4 linked regions of the Tamandua tetradactyla genome follow. The protein of the gene in region 1 interacts with the protein of each later gene in a pairwise test. Links are inferred from orthologs where the notes say so. Each region holds a gene or a part of one and is shown in the gene's direction. Other genes may lie near its edges. The genes, in order: NECAB2, SSC5D, KANSL1 and KLC4.

What was found.
Region 2: the proteins of NECAB2 (region 1) and SSC5D interact in binary tests that used the Homo sapiens proteins (3 or more experiments, as listed by UniProt). The two-hybrid records come from large-scale screens. The link is inferred for Tamandua tetradactyla from reciprocal best matches to the Homo sapiens genes NECAB2 and SSC5D.
Region 3: the proteins of NECAB2 (region 1) and KANSL1 interact in binary tests that used the Homo sapiens proteins (3 or more experiments, as listed by UniProt). The two-hybrid records come from large-scale screens. The link is inferred for Tamandua tetradactyla from reciprocal best matches to the Homo sapiens genes NECAB2 and KANSL1.
Region 4: the proteins of NECAB2 (region 1) and KLC4 interact in binary tests that used the Homo sapiens proteins (3 or more experiments, as listed by UniProt). The two-hybrid records come from large-scale screens. The link is inferred for Tamandua tetradactyla from reciprocal best matches to the Homo sapiens genes NECAB2 and KLC4.

Annotation. Positions count from the first base shown.
Region 1 is NC_135342.1:78,661,829-78,669,567, forward strand, and holds the start of NECAB2 (N-terminal EF-hand calcium-binding protein 2), read left to right. Parts: upstream 1-4,508; coding exon 4,509-4,718; intron 4,719-7,739. Other genes in the region: OSGIN1 (oxidative stress-induced growth inhibitor 1), read left to right, coding at 1,923-2,871. UniProt on the Homo sapiens protein: May act as a signaling scaffold protein that senses intracellular calcium.
Region 2 is NC_135342.1:4,243,464-4,251,136, reverse strand, and holds the start of SSC5D (soluble scavenger receptor cysteine-rich domain-containing protein SSC5D), read left to right. Parts: upstream 1-4,324; 5' UTR 4,325-4,401; coding exon 4,402-4,426; intron 4,427-4,943; coding exon 4,944-4,970; intron 4,971-5,216; coding exon 5,217-5,525; intron 5,526-5,720; coding exon 5,721-5,834; intron 5,835-6,048; coding exon 6,049-6,162; intron 6,163-6,499; coding exon 6,500-6,808; intron 6,809-7,673. Other genes in the region: NAT14 (putative N-acetyltransferase 14), read left to right, coding at 1,062-1,133, 2,387-2,935.
Region 3 is NC_135332.1:20,449,396-20,457,725, forward strand, and holds the start of KANSL1 (KAT8 regulatory NSL complex subunit 1), read left to right. Parts: upstream 1-4,985; 5' UTR 4,986-5,060; intron 5,061-5,417; exon of another isoform or gene 5,418-5,556; intron 5,557-6,627; 5' UTR 6,628-6,772; intron 6,773-8,330. UniProt on the Homo sapiens protein: Non-catalytic component of the NSL histone acetyltransferase complex, a multiprotein complex that mediates histone H4 acetylation at 'Lys-5'- and 'Lys-8' (H4K5ac and H4K8ac) at transcription start sites and promotes transcription initiation.
Region 4 is NC_135331.1:100,636,077-100,643,525, forward strand, and holds the start of KLC4 (kinesin light chain 4), read left to right. Parts: upstream 1-4,172; coding exon 4,173-4,230; exon of another isoform or gene 4,231-4,298; intron 4,299-4,447; exon of another isoform or gene 4,448-4,520; intron 4,521-4,529; exon of another isoform or gene 4,530-4,649; coding exon 4,650-4,707; exon of another isoform or gene 4,708-4,790; coding exon of another isoform or gene 4,791-4,819; exon of another isoform or gene 4,820-5,167; intron 5,168-5,852; coding exon 5,853-6,135; intron 6,136-6,613; coding exon 6,614-6,844; intron 6,845-7,449. Other genes in the region: MRPL2 (large ribosomal subunit protein uL2m), read right to left, coding at 597-809, 1,020-1,093, 1,370-1,480, 1,557-1,672, 1,786-1,927, 3,805-4,174.

The DNA of each region.
Region 1 (7,739 bases):
AGTGTACACTTCCTTTTTTTTTTTTTCTTAATGTCTTTGCATTAAAAATGTTAATTACAGTAGAGAAACTTGAAGGTTGAGAAACAGGAAGACAACTCACCCAGCCCCACACTTGTCCCTAGCACTATCACATTTGGGTATATCTCCTCCCCATCTTGTTTCCTACTCCATCTCTGGCCATGCTGCCCACCTGTGGGCCCTGGAGAAAGAGTCATCTTGTTGCATAAAGGAATTCCAGCCCCTGCTCACCCTGGGGGACACGGTGGAGGGCGGTGGATGTGCCCTCATGAGAAGCTGTCCCAGGTGTCGCCACCATGCTGGCATGTTTCCTTGTATTAGGGCTGCCCTTTCTGTCCTGGGGGCTGTGACAGGGCCCTAGGGCCTCTTTCGCAACTCAGTGTCCAGCTCTGCAGGGCTTCACTGTCTGTCTCCTGAACACAAGGAATCTCTGACCCTAACATTTTGATAGGAAAACATCCAGGCTTGTGTGATGATGTGCTAACAGGCAGACGGGAACTTAAACTTCATGGACGCACATGCCCTTTTATATCTTACCTTTAAACTTCAACATCACATCCTAAGCATTTCACTGGTGACTGGGCAATGATTGCAACTGTCTGTTGACACGGCCACACAAGACTCCCAAGGGTGCACGGGCACCCTGTCTCCACTGAATACCTCACTGCATGCCGGGCCATGTGCTCAGACATCAGGGCCAAGAAGCATGCTCCCTTGGCGCTGTCCGGTTATGGAATTTTTAGGTTCTTCCCAATTTGTGGTTACCATAAATAACCCCATGGGTAACACCTTCTTAGGATAGTTATCCAGAGAAATAAGTTCATTTGCAGAGTTCAGGTTCCAGTAGCAGAGTGACCGAGGTGGGTTGGCCACAGTGGACCTGGCCTGAGTTTACCCTACACTGTGGCATTTCCCAGATGTTGTGTTGCATGTTGCATGTTATTCCACATGCAGTGAGCTCATCCTTAGCTGTTGCTCCACACACTGGGGAAAGTAACTTGCCCTATGTCTTGGTGCTGGGTGGAAGGAGGAGCTGGGATTGTCCCAAAGCCTCGAACTCAACCACTGGCTGCATGGGACCCTGCAGCCATTGCCCTCAGAAAGAGTGGCAATATTATAACAACAATAATCATAAACTGCCACCATTCTTATGATGCAGGCTGGGCACATTGCTAAGTGCTTTACATGGAGTATCTTAAAAATAAACTGGTTATTTGAATTGAAGCACAGCCCACGTCTAGAAAAGTACACAGCTCACCTGTGTACAGGTGGATGGAGAAAGCCACCCAGACCCCAACGCCCCTCCCTTCCCCTTCCCATCTGCCAGCCCATTCCTTCTCCCCAGAGGAAACCACTAATGACGTCCACCTCCATAGATCAGCTTTCCCTGGTTCTGCCCTTGATAAAAACAGACTCATCCCCTATTTACCCAGACTGCTAGTTAACCCTTTTGAGGTAACAACACTGGCAAGACCTATGTGTCACTGGCTCCCACCACATTCCATTCTCAGCACTTTATATGTAGTCTTCCCAGCACCCTCATGAAGAACGCACTGCCACCATCATCCTCATTGCACATGTGGGGAAACTGAGGCACAAAGCCCACCAGGGCAAAGCCGGGATTTGAACCCGGGCAGTCTGCTTCTGGAGTCCGCTGGCCCTCTCAAGCCCACCCTGCACCTCCGGCCTCTTGGGGTCGGGGTCAGGGCCCGCAATGGCTCCATTTTACCGAAAAGGAGCCTGAGACTCTGGGCAGCTGAACCTCTGGGCAAGGCCTGCAGCTGGCGCGTGGTGCAGCTGCTGTCTGAGCTGCAGGTCCTGCCCCTGTCCCTGCACCACCTATCCCCTGCCACGCCCCAGGAGGCTCCCTGACACCCCCTCCCCTCCTGCGTCCTTTCCCGCAGGGGTCTGCGCAACAGCCGGGCCACAGCCGGGGACATCGCCCATTACTACAGGGACTACGTGACCAAAAAGGGTCTGGGCCGGAGCTTCGTGTCGGGCGCCGTGGTCACGGCAGTGCGGTGGGGGGCGCCCCAGCCCGGCAGCTCCGGGGCCCAGGACCCCAGCCCCCTCTTCCAGGTGAGCGGCTTCCTGGCCACCAAGGAGCAGAGCCGGCAGCCCTTCTCCCTGTGCGCCCGCAACGTGGTCCTGGCCACAGGCACATCCGACAGCCCCGCCCGGCTGGACATCCCCGGGGAGGGCCTGCCTTTCGTCCACCACGAGCTGGCGGCCCTGGAGGCGGCCACGCGGGCGGGCGCGGTGACCCCGGCCTCGGACCCCGTCCTCATCGTGGGCGCCGGGCTGTCGGCGGCCGACGCCATCCTCTACGCCCGCCACTACGGCGTCCCCGTGATCCACGCCTTCCGCCGGCCTGTGGACGACCCTGGCCTGGTGTTCAACCAGCTGCCCAAGATGCTGTACCCTGAGTACCACAAGGTGCACCAGATGATGCGGGAGCAGTCCATCCTGTCCCCCAGCCCCTACGGGGGCTACCTCAGCCTCCCCCAGCACCAGCTGCTGCTCTGCAAGGAGGACCGCCAGGCCGTGTTCCGCGACCCCGCCGGCCACCAGAAGGTCTTCGAGGTCTCGCTGGTGCTGGTCCTGATCGGCTCCCACCCAGACCTCTCCTTCCTCCCCGGGGGCGGCGCCGACCTCGCTGTGGACCCCGACCAGCCGCTGAGCGCCAAGCGCAACCCCGTGGACGTGGACCCCTTCACCTACCAGAGCAGCCGCCAGGAGGGCCTGTACGCCATGGGGCCGCTGGCCGGGGACAACTTTGTGCGCTTCGTGCAGGGCGGGGCCCTGGCCGTGGCCAGCTCCCTGCAGAGAAAGGAGACCCGGAAGCCACCCTAGTGCGGGGCCCTTGCACCCTCGCACCTAGGCCCTGAAGAGGAGGGGAGATGACCCCAGCCCTGCCGGGCGCAGGGCTCCTCCGAAGACGCCCTGGGGAGCAGAAGACGCCTCGGCAAGCAGGAGTGGCGATCCCAGGCTGTCCCAGACTCCCGCCAAGGCCCAAGATGCAACGGTGGGCACAGGCCGGGGCAGGCCCAGACCCACGATTTGGGGTGAAAGCTGCCGGCATCAGCTGGGCTCCGACAGCCTTGTCCAGCTCCCCAGGGCCAGCTGTCACCCAGCCGGGAGGATTCCAGGCCCTGCTCCTTCCAGGTCCCAAATAAAACCAGCGCCTGCCTCCACTCGTGTCTGAGGACTCTGTTTGGGGTGGGGTCCAGGGCCCTGGGGCCCAGCACTGGGAGCTGGAAGGAAGCACCGGGCTGTGTGGGTGATTCCCTGGGTGAGGGCCATGGGCTGGGGGACCACAAAAGAGCAGGTACAAGGGCAGCTGTGTTAGAGAAGCAGGAGGAGAACTAGGACAGGAGTGGTCTGCTGTGTGGGGGGCGTGGTTCACAGACCCTGCCCACCGCACCAACCTTTTCCCTGCCCCCACTCCATTGTAGCAACACTGTCTCCATTCAGCCCATGCTGGAGCTTGCCACAGGGCCTTTGCACAGGCTTTTCTCATCTCTCTTTAATTTCTTCTCTTCCTTTGAATCTCTCCGGATAAGGACCACTTCCTCCAGGAAGCCTCTGCTGACAAGCCCCTCACACAGCAAGGCAACCCGTCTCCCCCTCCCCCATGGCCCTCAGTCCCCCTCCCCCCACTTCATAGCAGTTTTAATTGCCCATTCCAGTGACTGCCTCCACCCCATTGGATATAAGCTCCAGGAAGCCAACGCCCTGCCTGTTCTGTCCAGCATGAGATGGCTGGGCACGGGCCCTGGCACCTAGTAGGCGCTCCTTAACTATACCTTGAGATGGATGGATGGACAGATAGACAGAGTGTGCGGTAAAGAGGGTATTCTGGCGTGGAGACTGGTTCTGGGGCGTTGTGTAATTGGACGGGGGGACCTGAGAAGATCCGGGAGGGCAAGGGTGGGTGCCCGCTGGAGTGATGCGGGAGCCTGGGGCGCGTGGGCGCCGATCCCCGCAGCCGGCGCCGGCAGAGGGCGCTCGGGGCTCGCCGGACACCCGCGGCGGCGGCGGCGCCACCGGGCGGGGGCGGCGGTGGATGGGTGGTGGGTGGGAGGGGGTAGTTACCTCCAGGTGGCGGGGGTGGGGGGGACAGACTGTCGAGGGGTGTAGCCCGGCGGTACGTCCCTCCCCCAGCGCCCAGATCCCCACCAACCCCGCGCAGTCCAGCCGGGGTCCAGCCTCCAGGCCCCGCGCCCTGGTTGGGGGTGGGGCGGTGGACACGGGCACGTGGCTGGGGTCCGGGCGGGGCACCCCCTCCCGTCCCCCCTCCCGTCCCCCCCTCGCTGGCGCCGGCCCGTCCCCGCGGTGTCCGCGGCCGTGGGGGCCGAGGGAGGGAGGGCGGGGCGCGCGGGCGGGCGGGCTGGCGGCGCCGGGGAGGGGGTCGCGCGGGGGCGGGCCGCGGCCGGGCGGGGGTCGGCGGGCTTCCGGGCGGCGGCGGCGGCGGCGGCGGGCGCGGCGCGATGTGCGAGCGGGCGGCGCGCCTGTGCAGGGCCGGCGCGCACAGGCTGCTCCGGGAGCCGCCGCCGCAGGGCCGGGCGCTGGGCGGGCTGCTGCGCTGGGTGGGCGCCAGGATGGGCGAGCCCCGGACGCCGCTGGCCCCCGTCGTCCCGGTCGCGGACCCCGGCCCCGGCCCCGCCTCGCCGCGCGGGGGCACCGCCGTCATCCTGGACGTGAGTACGCGCCGCCAGGGACCCCCGGCGGGAGCCTCACGGCGGCCCTGCCCCGTCCCGGCGGGACCCCCAGGCCCCTTCTCTCTGAGCAGGGGACCCCCGGCCCATCGCCCTCGGTCGCCCGGAGCAGGACCTTCTTCACCCGCTCCCGCCGTCTCCCGGAACGCGAGCCCCCAGCCCCTCCACGTCCCGGGCCGCTCCCTTCCCCGGACCCCCCTCGACTTCTCGCTGTCCCTGTGTCAGGACCTCCGGGGCCCCTGGACCGGGCCGCCGTCCCCTTACTTTTGTCTAGCCAAGCGCCCATTCTTTCCCTAGCCCTGCCCCCCACCCTATACCCCTGTCCCTTCCCGACCCGGAGCCCCTGACAGCTGCCAGCCCCTCCTTCTCCTTCATTCCCATCCAAGTTGCTACTTTTGTAAGCCCCCACCCCCACCCCCAGCAACCTCCCGCCCCAGCCTCTCTTCTTCCTTCCTCTCCACCCCGAAGCCCTGTGTTCCTATTCCCAGATGAGAGACCCTTTTCCTCCAGCCCCTCTTTGAAAATGAAGCCCCCTCCTCACCTCCTGCCTCCCCCTCTCCTTTCCAGAGGATTCGAAGCACCCCCACTGCCCTGGGCTCCTCTGGACTTCTCCCCCATTCCACCCCCCCACTCCCTTCACCGTTCCCTGTCTCCCACCCGGTCTAGTTCACTTCATGGACCCCAGACTCATCCCTTCACCCACCCGCACCCCGCCATCCGCTCAGGGACCCACACTGCACCCCTCTGAGGAGCTTGCCCCACCTTCCCACCCACCCCCTGCCCTGAGAGGGAGGGTTCTTGTGGGTGGATGGCATGGGGGTGGAAGACTTCTCCCTGCAGAGGGGCTCGGAGGTGGAGGGGCTTCAGCCCCCTCCCTCCACACCTTGCCTTGACAGCGTGGGGGTGCAGGTGTGCGTGCCCCAGTGAGGGTCCCGTGTGTGTGTGTGTGTGTGTGTGTGTGTGTGTGTGTGTGTGTGTGTGGCTTTGGGGACGGGGGTTGGGAGTGCCTGTGAGAGTGTGTTGTGGGTTTCTGGGAGAGTTGTGTCTCTGTGAGTGTGTGCATGGTGGTGTGTGCATGTGTGTACAGCGGATCCCTGCGAGGGCGGGGAGCCTGGGTTTCCCCTCTCCCTCTCTCCCTCTCCTTCTCCCTCCTCTGCTCTCTCCTGGAACTGGAGCTGGGTCCGCGGCGAAAGGGCTGGCCAGCGCGGGGGGGTGCAGGGCCCTGAGCGCTTGTGGCACCTGTGGGCTCGCTGCAGAGTTGGTGGCCGCAGACCCATGCGGGCTCTTCCCGGGAATCCCATGCGGCCCCATCCCTGGGTCCTCTCCTCTGAGGGCGATGTGGGATGGGGGGTGCTCTGGAGGGCTCTGAGCTTCCATCTCCTTGTCTGTGAAATGGGGGAGGGGGCCGGGAACCCCCAAGTGCCTGAGCACATTCCTGGAGCTGACATGTCGGCTGCGTCCCTGGGTTTGTTTGGCCAATGGCGCCAGGCTCAGGGGAGGCTCTGGGGATCCCCAGGTTGGGACCCCAGCCTTGGGGGTGTGCCCAGTCAGGAGGAGGGCGATGGCATGCCCAGGCTGGGCTCTGAGGAGGGGCTGGGGTGGTCTGATAACTGCCCCCTTTTCTGCCCCAGCCACAGTGGTTCCTGTCGGGGAGCCAGGCTCAGGATTCTCCTAAAGGGTAGGGGGGTGGGGACAGGGCAGGAGCTGGCTCCCTAGGGGGTCTGGGGGCGTGTTTAGGAAGCCTTCCCTGAGCTGCTGCCTAGCTCTGACCACTTCTGGGGCCTGATAAGGACCAGTGGCCCCTACCCCCACTGCTTACAGGGAGGTGGGATGGGGAGGGCAACTCTCCTCTGCTCCAGGGCCACAAGCCTCCCCCCACCCTTTGTCAGTGCCCCTTAGCTGGCCCCACCCAGACCACCCCATGTCTCAGAAAAACTTGGGGTGCCTTGGGCAGGACATTGCCCCTCCATCCTCCTTGCTAAAATAAATCAGTTCAACTATGTGGGGTCCAGTCTGAACCCCAGATCCTTCTCTTTTATAAGCACACAAATCCCCCAAGTGCCTGTTTAAAATGCAAGTTCTGATTCTGAGTCTGTGTGGGGCCCTGAGATTCAGCATTTTTAACAAGCTCCAGGTGATGCTTCAGAGACTGGTCCTTGAACTCGCCCCTTTGTATAGCGCTGTCCTAGTGCACAGGTTTCAACATTGACTGCACCTGGGAAGCTTTAGAAATGCTGATACCTGGGCCCAACTGGAGACAGGCTGATTTCATTGTTCTGGGGTGTGGCCTGAGGGTTTTAAAAGCTCCCCGGGTGATTGTGGCATATGGGAGAAAGGGAGAAATTGCTGGGTCAGCTGCCTGTTGGGGGTTCCAGCCTGACCTTGATGGACACGGAGCAGCTCTGCCCCACGTGTGTGCAGGTGTGTGCATGGCACTGGGAAGGATGCGGGAGACAGCGTCCTCTGGTCCAGCCTCGCCCAGCTCAGGAGAGGTCCCCTGAGAAGAGAGTTGAGGCCGGCGTTTGGGCTGCCCTTCCCCCCTTCCCTGCTGGGTACACCAGGCGCCACCTTCCTAGCTCCTGACAGCCTGCTTCTCCCTGCACCCCACCTGATAAACAGCCGAGCCCTGACCCGTGGCGAGTCCAGCCGCTCCCTGGGCCTTGCCCCTCCCTTAGGTGCCCCTATTCACACTTGATTCACCCTCCCGGAGAAAACTGGGGCTCCCGAGGGCCTCAGGGTGTGTGGTGGTGGAAGGTGTGCCCGTGGGATGCTAATTCTGAGCTGGGTTGTTTGTGACTGGGCGTGTGTCAGTGGGTGAAGTGCATGGATGATGTGCGCACACCTGTGTGTGCACGCGTGTGTGTCGGCGTGGCTGTGGGCAGCTGGCAGCGCAGAAGGGAGTGTGGGCGGCGGCTTCCGCGGCCGGCTGCTGGGAGAAACACCCCTCCCCAGGGCCCAGCCCGGGGGCTCCTCCTGGGGGGCGAGGGGAGGCTCAGCTTCCCC
Region 2 (7,673 bases), about 74 Mb from region 1:
CCAGGCACTGGCCCCACCGGCCTCCCCGTCAGTCCCACCTCCCAAATGGTACAAGTGGTCCCCGCTGGGGCTGGAGGCGTGGCGCAGTCGGGCCTGCCCTCCATCCAGATTGTGCAGACTCTCCCGGCAGTCCAGCTGGTGCACACTTTTTGAGGAGACCCGCTGGTACCCCCCGGCTCGTGTTCGGGCGGGCGGGAGTGGATTGTAGGCTGGCTTTGTTAATAAAGACTCAGAACCTTCTCTCCTTTGTTTGCTTTGGCGGGGAGAGGAGAGGGAGGGGGGAGAGGAGAGGGAGGGGGGAGGGGCGAGGTCACGGTCACAGCAGTGGCCTGGGCCCCTGGAGTCTTCGGTCTTGCACCTGTGACTTTTGGGGCCAGTCTTCTCTGGGGGCCGCTTCCCGTCCTTAAGAAGGACGCCTGTGTTTGAAGTCGCCCCGCCCTCATTTGAACAACGGGCGTGGGTGGGCACTTATCTCTAAGGGCGCCGCGGGCCCCGGCGCCCGGTGGGCTGGGGTGGACGGTCCCGGACAGAGCCGCCCGGCTCGGGCCGCCAAGTGCGGGGGCCCCGGCGCGGGTAAGTGCAAACCCGGGCGCCGCGTCCCCACCCCGGCTCGGCGCTCAACTCCAGCTCCGCGCCCGGGTCGCCTAGCAACGGGGCGTGGGGACGCGGAGTGCGCAGAGGAGGGCCGTCCCCGCTCCTTCCCCGGCACCCTCGGCCGTGTGCAGCCACCCCCGCTCCAGCCCGCGGCCGGTTCGCCCGGGACCCCCGCCGGGACGCTGGGCCGCGGGCGCTAAGGCGGGTGCAGGCGTTCCCCCGCGGCGCGAGGCGCGCGTCACTTCCGCCCGCGACCCTTCCCGACCCCGCCGCCCTGCCCCCGCCCCGGGCCGCCGCGACCCCCTGGACGGCCCTGCAGGGCCTCGCTCCCGCGGCGCGCGCCGGGAAGGGCTGGTCGCGTCGCGGCGGCCGATGTGGGAGCTGGCGCCGGTGACCCCCGGTTCCCGCTGACTGCGCGTTTCCCGCAGGCCCCACCGTTGTCCTGCCGGGCACGGGCCGGGGCTGCCATGGCCCCCGGCCACCTGTCGGTGCGGGAGATGAGGGAGGAGGAGAAGGCCCTGGTGCTGGAGATGCTGAAGGTGAGAGCCCGAGCGGGTGCAGGCCGGGGCCAGCCCCTGCCGCCCGGCCTTCCCCTCCCACCCCGCCGCGCGCGCCCCGTCCCTCTCGCCTTCGCCCTCCCCAGGTCTCAGCTACCCCGGCCGCGGCACCCACTGCCGTCCCGGGGCTCCTGGCTTCCAGCCTGCTCGGCCCGGCCGTGGCCCCCCCCTCCTGCCATCTCCAGGGGCCCGCCTTAGGCCCGGACACCCCCACCGGGCCCCCTTGGGACCGAGCACTCGCTGCCTGGAGGAGGATGCCCTGAGACCCCTCCGGGGTCACGTCCCTGGTGCCCACCAATGGGCCTGGATTGCCGTGGGGGCGGCGCCCAGTTCACCCACCCACTCACTCACCCCCTTTTTCATTTCATTCATTCATTCACTACTTCATTTGTTCATCCATTCAGTGGCTTATTCATTTGTTAATCCACTCTTCATTTATTCATTCATTCACTCATTACCCATTCCCTTCCTCACTTTTTCAGTCCCTAGCTCATTCATTCATTCATGCTTTCACTTATTCATTTATTCATTAATCCATTCTCACTTATCTATTCATTAAGTCACTCATTCATAGATTTGCTTATTCATGATTTGCTCATTCAGGCACTCACTTGGCCATTCATTCATTCACTGTTATCATTTGCTCACTCAATCATTAATGCTCCACATTCATTCACTTGTTTGTTTATTCATTTACTCATTCATGTGTTCACCAGTTCACTCATGCATTATTCACTAATTCACTCATTCATTCCCTAATTAACCCCTGCATTCAACACTCTCATTTGTTCATTCAACAACTCGCTCACTCACTAATTCACTCATCTTTTCACTGCCTGGCTCACTCACTCATTTATTCACTCACTCACTCACCCATTCTCACAACTCATCTATTTGTTCACTCATTCAGGCACTTATTTGGCAATTCATTCACTCACTCATTCATTCATTTATACTCTTGCCCATCCATTCATTCATCACTTGTTCATTCACTCATTCACTAACTCACTTGTTTGTCCATTCATTCATTCACTCATCCATTCATTTGCTCATTCCTTCACTCACCCATCTAACACCCAGTGCACAGAATTCTGTGAACAGAGCAGATGTGATCCCTGCCTGTCCCTCCACCACAGACCTACCACCTGCCTTCCCTTCTTGTCAGTCAGTCCTCCTACCGGCTGCTGCTGCCCACTGCCTCTGTCCCTGCCTCTGACCACCCCTCCCACCTGCAGGCCGGCGTGAAGGACATGGAAAATCGTGTGGCCCTGCATGCTTTGACGCGGCCGCCAGCCCTGCTCCTCCTGGCGGCAGCCAGCAGCGGTCTGCGCTTCATCCTGGCCTCCTTCGCCCTGGCCCTCCTCTTGCCCGTGTTCCTGGCAGTGGCTGCCGTGAAGATGGGCCTGAGGGCCCGGTGGGGCTCACTGCCTCCTCCAGGCAGCCTGGGGGGCCCCTGGGTAGCAGTCCAGAGTTCTGGTGATGTGTGCGGGGTCCTGGCTCTGGCCCCCCACCCACATGCGGGAGGCGGGGCCCAGGTCACCCGTCTCTCTGTCTCCCGCTGGCACCGCCGCCGGGGTGTGGGCAGGAGGCTGCTGGCCTTCGCTGAATCCCGAGCCCAGGCCTGGGCAGGTGGCATGGGGGAGCCCCAGGCCCAGCTTGTGGTCCCAGTGGCTGTGGCAGCTTGGGGGGTGGCAGGGATGCTGGAGGGCTGCGGCTACCAGGCTGAGGGGGGCTGGGGCTACATGGGGTACATGTTGGTGAGAGAGTTCAGCAAAGACTTGTGACTCCAACCGGCCTGAGAGCTGGGCTTGGGCCAGTTGCTCCCTTCACCACAGCCCTTTGGGGGAGGGTGAGTGGTCCCTCAGCAAATCCCCAACCCACCCAGGACTCAGAACCCTAAGGCCCACTGAGGGGAAGGGACCCACCGCCGCCTGCCTGACATCTGCAGTGTCGAGCATGTAGCGTTTGAGCCCCTCAGAGTGGAATCCCTCTTTTCCTTCCCATTCCTAGGGGGACCCCAGAGCTCAGCCAGTCCAACCCTCAGTTCTTTCTGCACTAAGAAATCTCCTGGTCCATTTGTCTGCAAAGCTCTGTTTGTGCTTCAGGCCTGGGAGAGATGTTTGTGGAGCAGGACGCCGAGCAAAGAGGGCTCCCAAGAGTTAGGTCTTGAAGGCCTTCCTGGGAATGGGCTGGGGCTGCCAGTAGAGGGCATGCACTGGGAAGTGGGGCTCTGGGGCCGAGAGGTGGGTGCAGGGCTGCTGCGGGCCCCTGGGCAGAGGAGCTGGAGAGCTGAGAGGGCCAGGAGCCCCCGCCCGCCCCCGTTCCTCCAGACCCATCTGGTTTTTAAGGCATTTGTTAATAAAGCCTGAGATTGCTGTGCGTCTGTCCCTCTCTTTGATGCCTTTTCCAGTCTCTCTCTGATCCCCCCATCCCCCCTCCGTCTGGCTCCTCCCTTCCCCAAGTTGACATTAATTGGTGTGGGAGGGAGGGCCTGGGAGAAGGGGGTGATGAGCTCACAGCAGCCTCGGTCCGCCCTTCTGACTCACAAGCCCCATTACCGAATTTTTTCCGCCTCACAGCTGCTGGTGCAGAGAGCGGGTCTGAGTATATGAGTGAGAGCTAGAGAGTGGAGGGTGCTGCTCCCCCATCCAAGTCTTAACTCTCAGCCCTCCCGCCCCCTCCCATTTTTCTCATCCTCTGGGACCACTCAGACGGAGGGAGGGCTTTGCAGTCAGATTGACTGGGGGGGTAGAGTGGTTCTGTCTCCTTTCCTAATCCGGAAGTCCTTCCTGCTGTCTGGCTGTAAGCCCTCTCACTGTACCAGGAGCCCCACATGAACCCAGCCCCCAGCCCCAGTGGTTAATTTGAGTCAGAACTTGACCCCCCCGCTACCGTGGTCAGCCCACTCCTCCCTGGCTGGACAGGAGAGGGGGCAGGAGGAGGGTCTCTGTGCCGCCTCCACTTCCACCCCTGTCCTGTCCGTTCCCTGCAGTCCGCCGCCCCCGACATCCAGAGCCTGGCCCTGGCTTGGACACCCTCCCGTCCGCTGCTACCCCCCCCTCTTCCCTGCCTCAGCCCCCGCTGCTGCCTCCTTGCCTCCTCGGCAGCCTCTCTCTCCTCCTGGCAGCGCGTCCAGGCCCTGCCTGCCCCTCCCCAGTCCAGGCGCTTCCCTCCCTGTGACCGCTGCCGCCTCTCTCGCCCGTGCTCTCCCCCTTTCACCCCGTCCCCGCCCTGGACTCTGTCTGCAAGCATGAGGGTCTTGGCCTGCCTCGTCGGTGAGTGACCGTTCTCCCTGAGGACTCAGGGGCCCGGACCCCAGCCCTCCGACCCCTTGGCTCATCAACTTTAGAGGTTCAGGCTTCTGCGACCCCAGCCCTTGGTGCTTGGGGACATGAGGACAGCCCGTCCTCCCTGCCCACCACCCGAGCGCAGTCCCAGCCCCACCCTCTCAGGGTCCCAAGCGACATGCCCCTTTCCTCTTCCCCCACCCTGACCCTGTGCAGGGGTCACCCAGTGTCTGATCTTCAGCTGTCCCCATAGGGGAACACAAAGGACCTCAAGCCCCACCCATCTCAGGGCCTGCATGCAACCCCTGCCCGACCCCCAACCCCGTCCGCCTCTGCCCAGAGTCCTGCTTCCCGGCAGCGGGTTTCTGGTTAAGAAGCGTGGGAACTGGGTGTGCACGTGTGTGTGCACGCGTGCGTGCCAGGGCATGCAGGGCAAGGGACCTGTCCTGGAGACAGGGACCCCTGGAGGCACCCCTCACTCGGGCCCACCCACCCTCCCTTCCAGCCGCTCTGATGGGGATCCAGGCTGTCGGTGAGTTTCCGAGCCCCTCCCCCTGTGCCACCCCATGTCCCCAGAGCCCAAGGGCTGGTGCTCTGACCCCTGCGTCCTCCGCCTGGAGCCCAGGGGCCCTGCCTCTAGCCTGCTACGGGAGCCGGGGCCCCTCAGCACTGCCCTCCCAATCATCCCCTGAGTTTGCATCCACTTGTGACCAGTGCAGCCCCAGGGCCGGGGTGGGGGCCCTCCTGGGGTCCGAGCCTCTCCTCCGTCCCCCTGCAGAGCGGCTGCGCCTGGCCGACGGCCCCCACGGCTGTGCGGGGCGCCTGGAGGTGTGGCACGCGGGGCGCTGGGGCTCGGTGTGCGACGATGCCTGGGACCTGCGCGATGCTGCCGTGGCCTGCCGGGAGCTGGGCTGCGGGGGGGCGCTGGCCGCCCCCGGGGGCGCCTTCTTCGGGGAGGGCGAGGGTCCCGTGTGGCTGAGCGAGCTGGCCTGCCGGGGCAGCGAGGCGCGACTGGGCCTGTGCCCGCACCGCGGCTGGAAGGCACACATCTGCTCCCACGAGGAGGACGCGGGCGTCGTGTGCGCAGGTGAGGGGCTCGCAGGGGCCGGGAGGCCACCCCTCAGTGCCGGGCCCTCCTGGGGCTCAGGGACCCCCAGCTTACAGGGGCTCCTGAGCCCTCGAGGACCCAGACACGCGGGTCCAGCCCTATCCCTCTCCCCAGGACCCCAGTGACCTCCTACCCCCCACCCCGCGCCTTCAGGGCTTCTCTTGTGCCCCACAGGGCAGCGTGTGGCCGGCTCCAGGGACGACTCCACTTCCCTCTTGGCAGGGGACCCCTGGCCCGGGCCCTCTGGGGGTTTCAATCTGGTGTCTGAGGTGCCCCCTGAGACTCACGGTGAGGATGAGGCAGCCCGTGGCACCCCCAGCTCTCTCCCCCCTTTGAACTTGGGGTCCCTGGGTTCCCCATCCAAACTGCGGGGGGGGGGGGGTAGTCCTTGGGCAAGGCCACTGGGACCGTCTGCTGCCACCTGGAGCCTGGCCAGCACCGCCATTCCGGGGGACGGGAGAGCAGCCGCCCGGCACCCCCCTCATGGCTGTCTCTCTCCCAGCGCCCCGGCCGGCCGGGGATCCCCAGAGTGGCCTGCGGAAGAAGAGCCCCCGGCCCCCCAAGCAGGCCAAGTCCACCCGCGCCCCTTCGCTGGTGACCGGGGCCCCCCGTCACGGTGAGGCCCCCACCCCCACGCGATGCTGGGTGCACGCATCCTAGGCCCAGAGCCCAGACCAAGGGGAGCAGGGCCCCCTCTTCTCAGTCTGCTTCCCGGGATGCCCCTGCCCGCACCCCGGGGGTTCAGGGAGTCAGGCGCCGTCTCCCACTCACTCACCCCCACCCTCTGCCTGTCCCGGGACCCGGGTGTCCTGCCCCACCCAGTCGCTGCTCCCTCCCCCTAACAGGAGCCCCCATTCAGCTCAGGCCTCAGTTTCCCCAGGTGAAGGGCTTGAACCTGCGTGTCCCATGCTGTGCGCAGATGAGGCACCTCGTCCCCTCCCTGTCCCCCCTAGAGCGGCTGCGCCTGGTCTCGGGTCCCCACGGCTGCGCCGGGCGGCTGGAGGTGTGGCACGCGGGGCGCTGGGGGACGGTGTGTGACGATGGCTGGGACCTGCGCGATGCCACCGTGGCCTGCCGGGAGCTGGGCTGCGGGGGGGCGCTGGCCGCCCCGGGCGGTGCCCGGTTTGGCTACGGCTCAGGGCCCGTGTGGATGGATGACGTGGGGTGCGGCGGAGGAGAGCAGGCCCTACGTGACTGTCCCCGGAGTCCCTGGGGTCGGAGCAACTGTGACCACAGCGAGGACGCAGGGCTGGTCTGCACGGGTACGTGGGGCGGGGGCCACGGGCATACCTGAGGCTGTCCTCCCGCCTTCCCAAGGGCTTGGGTCCCAGCTCAGAATCATCACACCCCTCCTAGGGAGCGCTCCAGCCCCCCCGACTTCCCTGCAGTTACCGACAGCCTCCTGGAGGGAGCAAGGGTTTTGGAATTGGGCTCAGCTCTTGGCCCCGTCCCATGGCCTTGGCCAGTGACCCCGAGCCATGGTGTTCCCCACAGTGCCACGGGAGAAGGTTTCGTGCAGACCAATGAGCATGTTCCTTCTCCCGGCCATCGTGCCATCCCAGCAAGGCCATGAGCCGGGTCCGTGTGTCCCTGCGCGCAAAGGTCCTGCAGCTCGCAGGAGTCATGCCCGCCCGCAGCCACCTGACCAGGTCCCTCTGTGCCCAGTGCTCCCCCAGCCCCCCTAACCGGTCAGGGGACCGTCTCTCAGGCCACCCCAGCCACCCCGCTGCCCAGTGGGCCAGCTTCTACTCCTTCTGCTCCCCTAGGGGTGGGGACATTGACGACTGAGCCTCAGGTCCTGGTGCTCCCCCGACACTGGGTCTGGCTACCTGCCGTGGCCCTTCCCCTGAAACCAGGGCGTAGGGCTCCCCCAGGGACGAAGTTGGACAGAGCTTGCAAGTCAGGAGCCTACCTTGGTGACACCCTTAGGGTCCCCTCCCTCCCTCCCTCCTCTCTTCCTTCCTTCCTCCCTTCCTTTCTTCGGGGAATATTCATCAAGCCCTGTTTCAGTTTCCAAGCTGCTAAACAAATGCCATACGCTCACTGGGCTCAACATCAGGAATGTCCTGGCTCGGGTGTCAGGCTGGAGGGCGGGCTTCCCCCGGAGCCGGCACCTCCTGGCAGGCT
Region 3 (8,330 bases), on another chromosome or scaffold:
ATTTGTGTTTTGTGGCTTATACTTGCACATGTGTTTTATTCTTACTAGAACAGTGGAAATACTGCACAAAACAAACCCAACTGTTCTGATTTCGCTTCTTGACTGGTGCAGATTCTGCCAATCCTCCCTACCTTCAGCTTACTTATTTGTAAAGAAAGACTGCAAGAACTGTGGGTTGTCCTTTCTTTTCCCTTTATGTCATCATTTCATAAGTGGCTGGCTAAGTTAGGAAGATAACATGAGTGAAAAAAGGAGATGACACGGTTCCTTGGTCCTTTTAAGTATCTTAGCTCGCCACCGTCTTTCAGCTTTGGAAGCAAGTGGGGAAAGCACCGCCTCTGGGAGCAGTCAGCATCCGGGTTACTCAGTGATTGATGGACCAGCTTACCTCGCACTGACTTTGAATCTTGCACAATTTCCAGACTATCACGGGTCCACCAATATTCTGTGCTTTCCCGGCATCTCAAACGCTGTAGTTAAATGGGGTGGCAAGGAATGGTGACATTCTAATTGCTTGGATCTCCTCTACTCACACACAATGTCCCATCTGACAAGTTCAAAAATAACATTGTTAAGAATTTTCAGGAAAGATTTTCAAGCTGAACATTGAACCAAGCCGGGGTCCCTTCTGAGCACAGGGGCCTGCGTAATTGCACAGGTCTCAAAGCCCGTGCTGCCCACCCTGGTGATGGAGTGGGGGGTCAAACTATAATTTATTTAACCAGTCTTTTAATGAAGGGCATTTAGGTATTATTTTCCCCATATTTTGCTTACATTGTTTGTTAAAAACCAAACCTGTTAACTGTGTATATACAGGATATCTAAACATTTGGCAGCAGGGAAAATATTATACTTTTTCATTTTATTTAAACGCTCTGACATAATCTTAATTATATTCTGCGTTGAGATTTAAGCCTTCTTCCCCATGCACAACTCTGTGATGATAATGAAGTAAACATCCTCGTGTGTCCAGACTTTTCAGAGAGTATGTCAGTAGGATAAACTTCAAGGCATAACAACGTTACCTATCACATGGTAGGTGCTTAATACATATTTGAGGAATGAATAAACTCTTAGAGGTGGAATTGCTGAATTAAAGGGCATCTGCATTTATAATTTTGATGGCTACTGTCAAATTGTCCTCCAGAGATGTTGTAACAATTTATATTTTCACCAGCAATTTACAAAAATGCCTATTTCCCCAACTGCCTTGCCAACATAATGTGTTGGCAAACTTTATCTTTGTGACCTTAGATGGAAAAAAAAGTTTCTCAGTGGAGTTTCACATGTATGTCTTTTAGCGAAGTTGAGCATCTTTTATTTGAGTCATTCATATTTTTTTTTTGTTAAATTCCATCATATATCGCGTCTCGGCCTTTTGGCTAAGATCAAGTGTAGTATCTGTTCTTATCAGTTTAATGTCTGATACGTCCTCTATCCGAGGACAATATATTAAATGGATTTTTGGAGCTGGGAGATGGAATAGGAGCTTGCTCCGTCCACTCCACTCATCGACCTGGTATTGCAGTACTTCCAGAAACGGTGCACCCCCTCCTCAATTGCGGTGTGAACTGACAGACTTGCTTTTTCCTTGCTCTCCTGCTATGCTTCTTTTCTTTACCAGACCGGGATGTCTACAGCTCTTTTCGTGTTTTTCCTCCTAAGCTGCTTGTACTGTTGTTTCTTCGTCGTCTCTTTCTTTCTTTCCTTTCTACTGTCACGTCCTTTACTTGTGGCGATGGCCAACCCAGGTTAAAAAAATTAAATGAAAAAAAAATTAAATTCCATCATATCCTTTGTCCATTTTTCTAAACATTAAAAAAATTATTATTTAGCATTTTATTGTGAAATTTAACATATATACATAAAAGTATATAAAACTTTTTTTGTACATAAAAAGTTATAGAAAAAATACTTGTGTATTCAACACCCTGGTGAAAAAATAGAATATTGCCAGCCCTGTAGAACAGCCCCCTACCCCTCACCCCCTCCACCTCAAGACCCGTCAAACACAAACCCCTCTACCCCTACTGGTTCTCCTGACTTTTATGGTGTTCACTTCCTTGCTTTTTCTTATAATTTTACCACCTATCCCTAAATAATATAGTTTTGCTTGCTTTTGAAGTTTATATCAGTGGAAACATACTATACATATTTTTCATAGTTTGCTTTTGTGCGTGTTCAATGTTACCTTTGTAAAAATTCATCCATGTTGTTGAACATAACCATAATTTGTTAATTTTCTTTGTACAAATATAGCACAATTGATCCATTTTATGTTTGGTAGGCATTTGGGAAAGTTCCAGTTTTAGGTAATAAGGAAAAACATTGCTGTGAATATTCTTGACAGTAATCCTGATATTTAAAACTATGCATTCCCTTAGAATATGTATCTAGTAGTGGGACTGCTGGGACCTAGGGTATGCATATCTTAAATTTTATTAGATTGTACCAAAATGGCTGTACCAGTTAATACTGCCACCTGTGTAAAAGGATTTGCTGGTCTTTATTTATTATTTGTAGGAGAAAGTCATATACAACATTATTGAAATTAGCCCTTTGTAATATGAATAATAAAAGTTCTTTTTGAGTTTACAATCCTTTTAAAGAAGCATGGATATTCTCCCTAGAGGAATGAAAATGTCACCGGAAGAAATGGAGTGTTCTAATTTTGAAGCATTTAAATGAAAAACAGTGTTTTGTGCTAACCCTCTTATCGCTTTTAATCTGTTATTGTACGTGACATTAATGTGGATAATCATACCAGCATTTTCATGAATGCTCTACAATACAAGATGCCAAATATAATAATAATGATTGTTAAAAATTGTGTGTTTAGCTTGTGCCAGACAGTGTTTTAAATCCATTATATGAATTCACTCATTTTAATTGGCACAACTCTAAGAGGTAGGTACTATTTTTCACCCCATTTTACAGGTATATGAAATAAGGAGATTGATGGAAGGTGTTTCTAAGCAGAATTAATAAACTCATAGAAAAAATTCATAACTGATAAAGATGTTTTCTTTTTACAATTTGTTTTCCTTCTTGGGAATGAATGATATCCTATCCTGGGCTCATTTTCCCCATCATCTCTGATCTGAATATACCTCATAGTTTTCTCTTTTTTCTTTGGAAGCCAATGTGTTTCTATCTTTCTTGCAATCCTTCCACATGATCCCTTGTCCCCTGTGTCACAGGGATGTCAGGCATCTGCATTCAGGACTGGGAAGTGAAGAGTGCTTGGAGCTTGTGGGGAAGAGGAAGAGAGGAACAAGGATGAGGGGCGAAGACAAGTTCCAGGCCGCTGTGGACATGTGGAGATTGGGGAACATGATCTTCTTAGGGTAGGGTTCTTTAATCTGTGGTATACAGATTTGGGAGACCACGAATTTACTAAAGTCTAACAGAAAGTTAGCATTTCCTTCAGTCATGAATGTAGACAAGATATCACAGGAGCATTAACAGGACCAGTGATCTTGTCTCCAAGAGAAAGCACAAATATTTTCATATTATATCACAGTTGCAGATATCTTGAAATACCATTTATGCTCATTCACTAGCTCAAAATTATGGCAGTCATTAGACTCTCTGCTAGGTCTTATTTAATGCATTAATAAAAGCACATACATTATTATATCACACTTTTAAAATATTTTAGTAATTGTATCTCAATATGATTGGTTTCCTTCGAATTCCTTTAAAAACATTACTCTGAGAAGGGGTCCACATGCTTTGCCATGCATGGACAAAATTAAAAACCCTGCTTTATGGATGTTTTCTTGGCTTTCATTCTTACTGTCACATGGTTGCCTAAAGAGCGTGCCCAAAGTAAGCCTCACGCCTATTTTTCTGGATACCCTCCCTCCCTTAACTTTCATTCGTTTTCAATATTGTTTCTTTTACTTGACTGACCCTCTTTCTGATTCTTTTTCAGACTCTTAACTTTAAATGCAGCTGTCTTTACACTTTTGGGGGGAATTTATCCTTCAGCATATCATCAACCACTATACTTAGGTGGAGAATCCTAAACCTTTTTGAATCCAGTCTGTTCATCTGCTCATAAATCCCATAACCCTAAACTGCCTCTGAGTCACCTCTGTTTGGTTTTACCACTGGTATCTTGAACTGCAGTATTAAAAACTAAGACTCCTCCCCAAAGCTGCACATTTTCCTAAATTTCCTGGACAACCATCTTGTCTATTTCCCTAGTTTTTTGACCTTAGAATTATTTGAAATTTTTAACCAATTAATTTTCTTTGAATTGGCAATTTTCGTGAATGGTACAAAAATCAAAAGATATAAAAGAATAACTAAGGTGATATGTGAGACGTAAGTCTTTCTCCCACTTGGTCTCCCGAGGCTTCATCTCCCCTCCCAGGAGAGAACCACTGTTATCAGCTCTTTGATTGATTTTTTTTTATTCCTTTTTATGTTGGCTATAGCTCAAGTTCTTCTCTGTCTCTGAAATGTGTGCCCTTTCTTCTTCAGGCTATCATGACCTTATACCTGGTTGACTACACACACGTACGCATGTATCTTTATAGCCATAATATCGATATCTATATAAATATATATATGTGTGTATATATTTACATACATATATTAAATCTCCCCCATACATTAAATCTCTCCCTTCCGGCCTCGAGTTTTCATCACGTAGCTTCCTGGATGAAAAACCTACAGGGGTGAGGAGCAGGAGCTGGGGGTGATGGAGAAGAGGACCTAAAGGGGACTTGGGTAGGGGGTTCCGACTGGCCGACTGGTGTGAAGCGCTGCCAGTATTCCCTCCGTCTGTTCCCTCCATCTCAGGGCCCCTTCCTGTCCTCTCGTCCAAACGCCTCTGGTTTCCAAAGGCCGAGACAGAGACAGCGAGATACACAGAGACAGAGACGCCGAGGCATCAGCATCCCTCTCCTCCTTCCGTCCCGCCCCGCCGCTCTGATGGACACCCGCCATCAGCCAATGGTGCTCATGATGGGCCCCGGAAGGGCCAATGAGAGACGGAGGAGGGCGGAAGATTCCCCGCCCCCACTTCTAGGCTTGGTTGAGCCGTGCAGGTAGGTCCCGGGCTGGGGGAGCTGCCGTTGGCACTGGTACCCCGGGGGGTAGGGGCACGAGTGGGTGGGGGTGATGGTGGGGAAAGGGAGGTGGCCCCGACGGGGAGAGCCCGACGTGGCGACCCGGCCTGGAGGTGGGGGCCGAGCGGCCCGGGGAACGGTCGCCGCCGAGGGCCCTGGCAGCGGCAGGACTGGGGGAGCGGGGACGCGTGTGTGGGCACAGGGACCCTCACCCCGCGTCCACCCGCAGGCCTGGGCGGCGCGCCGCGGGCCGAATGGTCAAGGGGTCTGGCTGCCCGGGGGCCGGCCGGGGCCGGGGACACCGAGCAGAGCCCGGGGCGCCAGGCCGAGCCGAGGTGGGACGGACCGACGCGGAGAGGAAGGGAAGCTGCATCCCGCGGGCCGCCCCTCTTGAGGCCAGCGGGGCAACGGCCGAAAGCGACCCCCACGTTGAGCCCACCTCCCCATTCGCCCTTTCCTTAACCACGGGAATAAGGCAAGACGAGTCGCCCCACTGCGAGAAGGTTGGGGTGGGGGGAGCTTAGGTTTGGGACAAGGGTCCAAGGTGGGGGGAGGGGTGGGAACTCGGACTCCCGGTCTCTCTCTCCCGATGCTTCTGAGGTAGGGATCGTGGGAGGGCATATTAAACCCGACTGCGACTTGGGTCGAGAGTCAAACTCCCCTCACCCCTCCCACCCCCAAAGGAAAAAAAAAAATACGATGAGCAGTAAGGAAAGTGATGCCAAGTCTTCCAAGCCGAAGTGACAAACGCATAGTTAAGAATAAATCCACTCCAAAGGTTTTAATTTTCTTTAAATGGGAGTTCTCTAGCCTTTGATTTTTCGAAATTTATTTTTACAAAGGTGGGTGCTGTCATTTTTGTCCCTACTCGGGCAAGCCTCCATTTTAAGTGAAGCAGTAACTGGTTAAGCTGGAATTTCATTCAGGCCTAGGATCCTGCAAGAGGGCATTCAGTCCATCCTCCTGACCCCGGGCAAACTTGCCTCCCTTCTCATCCTTAAAATTAAATTGTTTGGGCTGCTTTTAATGATCTATAGTGAAGAAGGGTCTTTTATTTGCTGACAATGTTTTAGTCAAGAATACATTTTATTTTTCAGGTAGAATCTTCTCTGAAATTACATTTAAGCTGAATAAAATGTAGGACAATCTGAATGATCAGAGAGATTTTAATTTACTAAGTTAAATGTGTCAAAAGTCATTTTTAGGATATTAAATTTTTTAATTATGTTGATGAAATGCCCTGGATAATCATTACTTTTCACTTATATTTTGGTTTTCTATATTCTGTGAGAAGCAATTTCATTTTATCTAAAATGTGTTTTATATATTAATTTCTCTTTTTATCTGAACTATGTATATGTATGTGTGTGTATGTATATAAATACAGAGAGAGAGAGAGAGATGCCCTCTTTCAAAAGGCAAGTGTGTTTTGTACATCTTTTTAGAAAAGTAAGGCAAATAGTACTTCAAATCTCTGCCCAGGAAGCTTAAACTGTTTGCTTATTCTTCTGCATTTTTTAATCTAAGTGAAAGTCCTCTCTTTCAGATATCTTCCTGAAACAATAAAAATTTTTCCTACCTGCTCATACTTGGTGAATCTAAGGGAATTACTAAGACTCCCTTCTTGTTCGTTTTTGGGTATTGCCTGCACTGTTCCTGACACTATGAATGCTATTTGGATGCCTCTTAAGGTAAGACAGTATTTTTCCACTATTGGCCTCATTTTGTTTATTTTTTATTTAGAATCGAGAACTTTCTAATTCTTGAATTTGCTATTCTTCAACCACCTCATGTGGTACTCCTCTCCTGTCAAAAATTAATATTGTGCTTGCTTGCTAGGACTGATTGATTATTCCTCATTTTGTATTTGCTACTTCTCTTGATTATTGGTAATAACATATTAATGAAGTTCTTAAATTAACTTCCATTGTAATGATGTGTTCATCCTTTTTACTTTAAATTATGACAGACCACATAGTTCTAAAATTTCATTCCAGTCCCAGTAGGATGGGTTGGCAATTTAGACATCATGGTCCACTTTCAAACAGGTACTTGAGAGTCATAGGTATTAGGGTGCGCCCACTCTTGCAAATCAGTAGCTGATTCATGTGTTACAAAAGATGTGTCATTAACTGTTTGTTTATTCTGAAACTTCATAGTATATTAGAACATTCTGAGGCATGCTGGTCTATGTGGACAGCTCTGTTGGGGACTCCTGCTTCTGCTCCCTAGTCCTGTGCGTGAGATTTTATGCTGTTTTCCTCACAGGTAGCATTTTGTGCCTAGTTTATCTCACAGGTAAACCTCATTTGGACTGTATGGGCAGAATGGCCTTTAGATGAAAAAGCTCTCATTGGTATGATGGTTCTTCAGTCTCTTGCCTCCTTCCCATCCCTTCTATATAAATGGTCAAAGGACTTTCCATTAAGACTAAGGAGAAGGCAAAGCTTAGAACATGAAGGGAGGAAAATGGGAGGAAGGATAGGGAGAGAGAGATGAGTGACGGAAGCTTCCCCAGGTGACACAGCTTGTCTTTCCTCAGAGTTAGATACTAGTATAGAGATCGTTCCTTGGTAATCTGGTGTGTGGAATTCCAAATGTATGCAATGGGTAAATCAGAGAATGCAGTCTGTGTAACCTAAATATTTGGACTTGTGGTAAATCTTTAGGCAATGTAGACTGAGTTCTTATCTTCATTTATGTTAACAGCTGCACTTAGGATAATGAGTGATTTTATTAGTATGAAAGAAGCCAAAGTGACACACTTTTTCCAGTTATTCTCCCATAGAGTTGGAGCTCCAGCCAGAAGTCCTGAACCCATAGGAATTGGAGGACCTCGAACCAGAGTGTTTCTCTTTGGGATGGAGTGTTTAGTGCCACGACCTGGTGGCCACTCTGGTCATTAGGAAGCAGACAAGGGATTATTAGCCTTTTGTTAATAACTAGTACCTTCAAAAACCCAAAGATATTGGGATCATATTATCAGATTTCATTTTATGGTCACCTTGACTTTCAGTAATGTATTATGATCATGAAGGTCTGCTTTTTTAACTTTATATGATGTTTAAAAATGTATCTCTAAGTCTCTCTGACCCCTGGGTCAGTAAGCTCTGAAGTTGTACCAAATGCCACTCTGGCAGAAATACAGAACGGAAGTCACTGCTCCATACTGTGTGAATTACCATCTATTAACTACCTAAGAGTATAGTTATGTAGCTGCCTTAATTTTATGTTTCCCACCAATCCTAT
Region 4 (7,449 bases), on another chromosome or scaffold:
GAGGGTCGAGGAGGGAGGGGGCGTGCCTCCGCGGGCAGGGGGCGTGGCGCGCGGATCCAGTGCCCTGGTGCCCGGCGAGTGTCATCACCCGCGCGCTGGGATCGGCGGCTGCAGAGATGGGGCGGGGCCTGGCCGCGGCCAGCAGCGCCACTCGCCCAGTTTCCGGGGCTTCGCTGCCCGCCCGGAGCCGAGGACCATTTCCGCGGGTCTAGCGGAAAATGAGGGGCCTTGGGAGGACAGCGTCCGGGCGGGGCCGCGAGTGCCACCTCGGCGACGCACGGAACCTCCTCCTCCTCCGCGCCGCCCTTTCCTCTTCCTTTTTGTCCTCCCTCCTGCCGCCGGAAGTCCCTTCCCCGTTCTCGCAAGTCAGAACTGGGGAAGACCTCGGAGATCGTTTATTCCCCCATCCTCCCCTGCATATAAAGGAACTCGGGGGGAAGCCCCAGTCTTTGCAACAATTGGTCGTTTTCCTTCTATTCACCCAACGCTTCTGTCTTTTTCTCCCCTGGTCCAGTCCATACCCTCCCCTCCAATAAAAACAACAGATAAAAATAGGTGAGGGAGACCACTTTATTAGATTCCAGGGATATCAATTATCAGCTTTGGGCAGCAGCAGATGGCAACTTCACATAACTCTTCATGGGGGGTAGAGGCCGAATCTTTCGGCCAGCCCAGCCCCCCTTGCGGTGCCATAGCCCGCTATTAGGCCTCTTGCCCAGCCAGCGGTTCCGCCCAGCCTTGCCTATGATCCGTTTGTTATGATCTACATTGGATACTCGGCCCACTGTTGCCACACACGTTTCAAGCACCTGACAAAGAAAACAGATGGAGGACAATGAACAGAGGGAGGAAAGAGTCTCATAATGTTGAGGGCATGGACTCTTGCATGCCAAATCACGTAGCAGAAAAGGGCAGACCCAGCTTGAGGCAGTTCCTAGCATAAAACATCTGGGAGCCATCCCTGGACAGAAAAGGTACATATGAAAAATTCCTCCTTCGCTGGTCCTTCCCATACACACCTGCATCTGCCTCTTAGAGGGCAGCTGGATGATTGCTGTTCCATTCACCTTCCTCAGCAGTACACCACATGTACCTGGAAAAGGGAGAAGGCAGCTTTGCCACCCTTCAAAAAGGATGAGGTGGAGGGGTTGGTTCACACAGGGGCCATACCCCACATACTTCTGGCTGTCTTTTAGGAGCAGATACACTGAAACAGGACGCATATAATGTTTTAGGTCAAAATATAAGCACATCCTCATTTTCCTTGTTTTCCCCTTCTTTCTGTCAATGGCCTATGGGTTCAGAGAATTGTGATCACAGGTCTTGGCCTTCCAAATTGTAGGGAGCCAGGCAGCATCTCTTTCCATACCTGCAGCTCGAATATATTGGGCTCCCCGGCCTGGCTCACTCTCCACGTTGTTGATGAGGGTCCCCACAGGCAAGGCCCCAAGAGGATGTGCATCCCCTTCTCGAGCAGCAACTAAAAGATGGAATTTCATCAGCACAAGAATTCCCGCATCCTCCCAGCCTACATGCATCTGGCAACCATTCCTCACCTGCCATCCGTCCAATGTGATCAGAGTTCAGGATTATATCTCCAGCCTGCATATTTTCTGTGGCAATGATCCAGCGTTTCCGGCTGCCTCCAGCTACCAGAGCTATGTCTGCTGACCTGTTCAATGGTAAGGGATGGTTGAGCAGGCCATCAAGGCAGCTCTGTGTCTTCTGAGAAGCCAAAGAGCAGCCAGTCAGATATACCATCATTGCCCCATATCTCAAACTTGCCTACAGGGATCATATCGGACGTTGATGACCTTCTCCTCAAAAGGTCCTGGCTTGCTCTCATTCTCAGGCCGGAAACGCAGAAAATCAATCATGCGATAGCGTTGCTTGTGGCCTCCACCAATGCCATGCACTCGAATGCGGCCTGTGGTCAGGACAGTTTGGGGACATGAACCAGGTCAGACTAATTCAGCTTCCAGTACTGGGAACAGGCCCACCCTTTGGCCAATAGCAGTGCTTCCCAACATTATGGCAGAAGTAGAAATTGAATAAAAAAAAAGATTTGCACAGCATATTGGGGTAAGGGGGAGTGGGGGGAAGTACCTACATGGAGTTTGGTAAATATAACAAAGAAAAGTAAAAAAATGAAAACATAGCATATTAGGGAAGATATTAAATATTGAAATTGTGTAAAATCTCATCAAATTACTACATTCAGTACGTTTACTGAGACATGAAAACAGTGCTCAACAATTCCAACTGTTGTAAAGTTTCAAATGGTGTAAAGAAAAATGTCATGGCATTTCCTGTGTATGGCTAGTTTTCTTTATCTAGATTGTCTTTAGAAGTACAGACCACCTTGTCTGTTGCTTTGTATCCCACTCTGACTCCAACATACATTCTACATGCTGAAGGAGTCCAATAAATGCTTTTTGATTGCATTTCTCTGTTCCACAAGGTATAAGTTTACAACTATACTTGCTTAGGGTCCTATCATGTTTTTCTTCTTTATTGCTTAAATCCTCTTGCCCTCACTCCCACCTGTGTGGTCTCGGCCCCCAGACTTTCTCATCTTCACTGGTGTAATGGTGTACTTGGTACGACTCTTCCAGGATTCAAGCTTGGCATTGAGGGTCACAGAAGTAAGGATTGGGCGGCAGGGGGGCAACATCAAGGCAGAGGGTGACTGGAGGAAGGCATTGCTTATTATCTAGGGATAAAGAGAAAGCTCTTTAACTAGGAAAGCTAATTGAAGGAGAAGCATCAGAGAACCAAGGGACAGGACACAGACCATTTTTAGCTTGTAGCCTACTTGTTCCTGAAAGTGCCCCAAACCAGCTGTCCAAACATACCACCCATCAATATGCACAGATACCAGTGCAGAATGTTTATTCAGATGTATGTGTGTTGTTTGCCTCTCCTCCTTTAATACATTTTCACCTCTGAAGTATTTCTTCAATGAATGTTCTTCCCTTGAGGCATATCTTTCCAAATATGGCATAAAACTCTTCTTCTCCAGGAAACATATATGATCATCACCACTGATCCCATTTTTCCATCTATGTTATGTTTCTGGGAATTTTCACATATAAATGGAGTGGCGGGATCATTTGTCTTCAATGCTGACTCCCAACACTGAAGATTAGGTTGGTCTAGTTTTTAATTTTGTGTTTCCATCTGCCAAATACACAGCTGATAACTCCAGATGAGCAAGTTTACAACCTCTCTTTCCTGTGCCTCACCAGTTCATTCCCGTAGCCCACTAGTGACCCCCTGATACTTTCACCTGAGGTCTTTATTCTTGGTATCTTATCCTGCTTTCTCTGATCTCAGCAATAACTCATCCTTGTAGCATAATGGTTAAAAGCTGAGGCTCTGACATTAGACTGGCTAGCTCCACTACTTGGTGCGTGACCCTTGACTGCTATCAGTTTTCTTATCTGTAAAATAGGAACAGTAAAAACTACACTTACAGAGTGATTGTCAGTTCATTTATTTTAAGCTCATAAATATTACTTATGCCTGGCTTATAGTAGGCACTCAGTAAATACTTATTTTTGAAATCGTACAATAGGAGATCTGCAAAGCGCTTTTGCCTCCAGTATCTTGTCTGAAAAACACCTGCGGCACTATAGGGCAACACGATCTTACAAAAGGGAAAGCTAAGGATGAGTGACTTATCCAACGTCACCGGCCGGCGCGACTCCTGGCCAGATTCGCATCCCCCATCTCCCATCCCAGGCTTCTCCCTCCCGAGAGGCCAGAACAGAAACAGCCTCATTTCCCGGTGTAGCAGATTACCTGGGCGGCGGGGAGCAGGCTCGGGAAAGGGATGGGAGTGGCGGCGGGCGCTGGCGAAAGGCTCAGGGAGCCCAGAGTACGGGTCAGAGCCCGTAGGGCCATAGGGGAGGTCAGAATCCACAGGAGTCCGTACGCCACTCTCACCTGTAGCCAGGCCGCGCCGCGCTCCTGGGTGACACCAACAGTTCCCGGCGCCGTCGATGTCTAATGACGCAAAAGAAGGGGGCAGAGAAGAGGAGACCAAGCCGGATACACATCTCCTTTCCTCCGAGAGCCAGAGCCAATCCTCTGGCGCCTCCGATGTCTTGTGACGGGGGAACAGGCCCCGCCCCTCGGAGCCGTCAAAACAATTGCCTCGAGAGGCAGCCATGATGGATTTAAAGGGGCAGTGCCGGCCAGGGCGGCAGCCAGACCGAGAGACTGCGGGTGAGTCTTAGAGTTAACTATTGGGCACAGTGTGGAGGGCCCCGCCATATCATATTCCCGCACTCCTGGACAGATGAACAAACCCCCTCACCGACCTCATACGATTCCAGACCGGCTCCAAAACTCCGCCCACCCCGATTCTTCCCCGCCCCTCGGCATCCAGACAGACGGACAGAAGGCCTGCCCCGCCCCCTGAGCGACCAACTGACTCACTGACCTCGAGATTGTCTGGCCGTGGGGTCCTAGCCCGCGACGCAGACCTCAGCCATCCACTCGAACTACCCCCCCCCCGCCCCCGCCCATCTCCTCTTACCCCCACCCTGGGCCCTAGGACTGGTCAACAGCCTGGGACACTCCTCAACCCCATTCCCAAGTCAGGAGACCAATTCCCAGCGCCGCGTTTCTCTGTGACCCCGCAGCCGCTCAGCAGACCTGCCATTCTTCCCTGAACCATCAGGCAACTGGGAGGCAACTAAGGTGACTCTTCTCAGAGTCTGTTAGTAGGTGACTGTGACAGAGACAAGAGAGTTCCTCCAACCTGGCCTCCGGGGAACAAAGCCATGGAAGTGGCTGGGCCAGGAAAGATCAGGTCTTCCTCCTCACCCTTTCCCAAATACTCCCCTCTCTTTAGGTCTCTGATCAGATCTCTCCCTCGCTCCCTTCTTGGGAGAAAGTAGTTCTCCAGGGCTGGGGTGGGAGGCTGTCCTGGGGAAGGGGGAGGGATATTGTTGTGTTTGAAGACCTGTAGGCAAGGGTAACGTGTTTGCCCTGGGAGGGGCTCTATGTCCTGTCCTCTGGGTGGCTATGAGTGGTGAGAGAGGGGGCGGGAACCCTGGACTTCTGGACTTTGGGCAGGGCAGGTCCTTCTGAATCCCTGGCTGCTGAACAGTTTCTTCCGGGCTCGAACCTGAGCTCCGCAGTGAAGTTCTGTATACAGGTAAGAGGATTTCAATGCTGAGAAACAAGACCATTTTGAGAGGGTGGCAAGTATGGGTTGGAGGCGAATGGGGAAAGATAAAGAACTGACCAATTTTGGAGATGCAGGTCTTGCTCCATGGGTGACACAGCCAGAGGACCTTGAACCTTCTGGGGTCCTTTCTCCTGAGTTCTCAGATATGAAGGCTCCTGTTTTCTTCTTTTAATTTTCTTCCATGATTTAACTTTGATATCTATTCTTTCCCTTTTATCAGAAGCTCTGAACTATTTTCTGTATGTCTCCTGTCTATTCTAACCCTGTTTGCAGCCCTCCCAAATACCTCTGTGATTCCTGTAATGCTGTGTCTCACCTGCTGATTCTTTTTCCTAACCCAAGCTCTCTCCAACTCCCTTTCTGCAATGCTCCTAAGTCCATAACCCTTTTAGTTCTAAACATCTTCATTCCTTCTGGTCTTTCTCCATCTAACTCAATTCCTCCCTCCTCCCTCTGTCTTTGCCCACATCCATAGCTTTGTGATTAGTGTTGTAAGCTCCCTCCCCACTGGTTTCTCTCTCCCTCTCCGACTAAGCCAGAGGGTCACCCATACTCTCGTGCTTGTACCTGGATCCCTGCTACCCTCTAACCAAGGAGAGTTCAGCCTCTCTTGTTCTCCCTTGCCCTAGCTGAATTCTGTTTTTGTCTCTAGCCCAGATAAGGACTCCCTGGCAAGGATGTCGGGCCTGGTGTTGGGCCAGCGGGATGAGCCTGCAGGGCATCGGCTGAGCCAGGAGGAGATCCTAGGGAGCACTCGGCTGGTGACCCAGGGGCTGGAGGCCCTACACAGTGAACACCAGGCTGTGTTGCAAAGCCTATCCCAAACCATCGAGTGTCTGCAGCAGGGAGGCCATGAGGAAGGGCTGGTGCATGAGAAGGCCCGGCAGCTGCGCCATTCCATGGAAAATATTGAGCTGGGGCTAAGTGAGGCCCAGGTGAGATGGTAGAGGTGGTGCCATGCAAACCAAAGTGAACAGAGGAGCAAGTATCAGACTAGAGTCTGAGGGGAGGTTTGGGGCCAATTGGAATCACCTTATTCTAGATGCTTGCATTCGTTCATTTGTTCAGTAAGTATTTGTTAAGTCTTTCCTATATGTCAGACATTTTCTGGTCACTGGAGATTTATCAGTGAACCCGATAGCCACAAATCTTTGCTGTCTTATAGCTTACATTCGAATTGGGAGAAAAAAGCAATACAGCTTGGTCCAGAGTGGTGGCAGTGGAGGTGGTGAGAAATTGGATTCAGGGTATTTATGTTGAAAGTAGGGCCACTGTTACACACCCTAGCATCATCTACACCCCTTGGCCCGTTTGTGCCTCTGCCAGTCTTGCTGCCTCCCAGTAGGCTTTCCTCCTGTTTGCCCTTGAGCAGTCTCATCCAGAGGCTGGCGCTCACTAGATATGCCCATCCAGGTGATGCTAGCTCTAGCCAGCCACCTCAGCACAGTGGAGTCGGAGAAACAGAAACTGCGGGCTCAGGTACGGCGGCTGTGTCAGGAGAACCAGTGGCTCCGGGACGAGTTGGCAGGCACCCAGCAGCGGCTGCAGCGCAGTGAACAGGCCGTGGCTCAGCTGGAGGAGGAAAAGAAGCACTTGGAGTTCCTGGGGCAGCTGCGGCAGTATGATGAGGATGGGCACACCACGGTGAGCAGGCAGGGCTGGCTGGGGATGGGCAGCTGGGAGTCACCACAAACATGAGGGCAATTGACCCATCATCTGAGGGAACCAGCAGCTCTGCCCAACCTCTTCCCATCAGGGAGAATTCCTTTGTCAGTCCTGACATGACAGAAAGGGGGAAACAGTATTCACTCATTCAATCTACATTTAATTAAATGTCTATTACGTACTGGGCACTGGGCACTTTGCTGGAGATACAACAGTGAATGAGGCAGGCTAGTCCCTGCTCTCACAATTATAGGTTTGTGTGGGCGGAGGGTGGAGTCAGACAAGCACCTGGACAATTGTAATCCAGAGGCCTAAGTGTTACAATTAGGGAAAGCACAGCCCAGATGAGCAAGATCCTCCTAAAGTTTGCTCTCAAAATGTGTGAAATTAAAAAAAAAAAGTGTGAAATTTAACCCTCCTCAACAGGCATTTATATGGCTTTGTGCTGTATTTACAATGCAAGGAGAGGTGCATAGGGGAAATGTAAAGAACTATAAAAGAGAATTCCTGCCTTCTTGAGATTATAATATAGCTGCAGGTACAAGGCTATATTACATGTGACAATGCAAAGCAACACGTGCTCC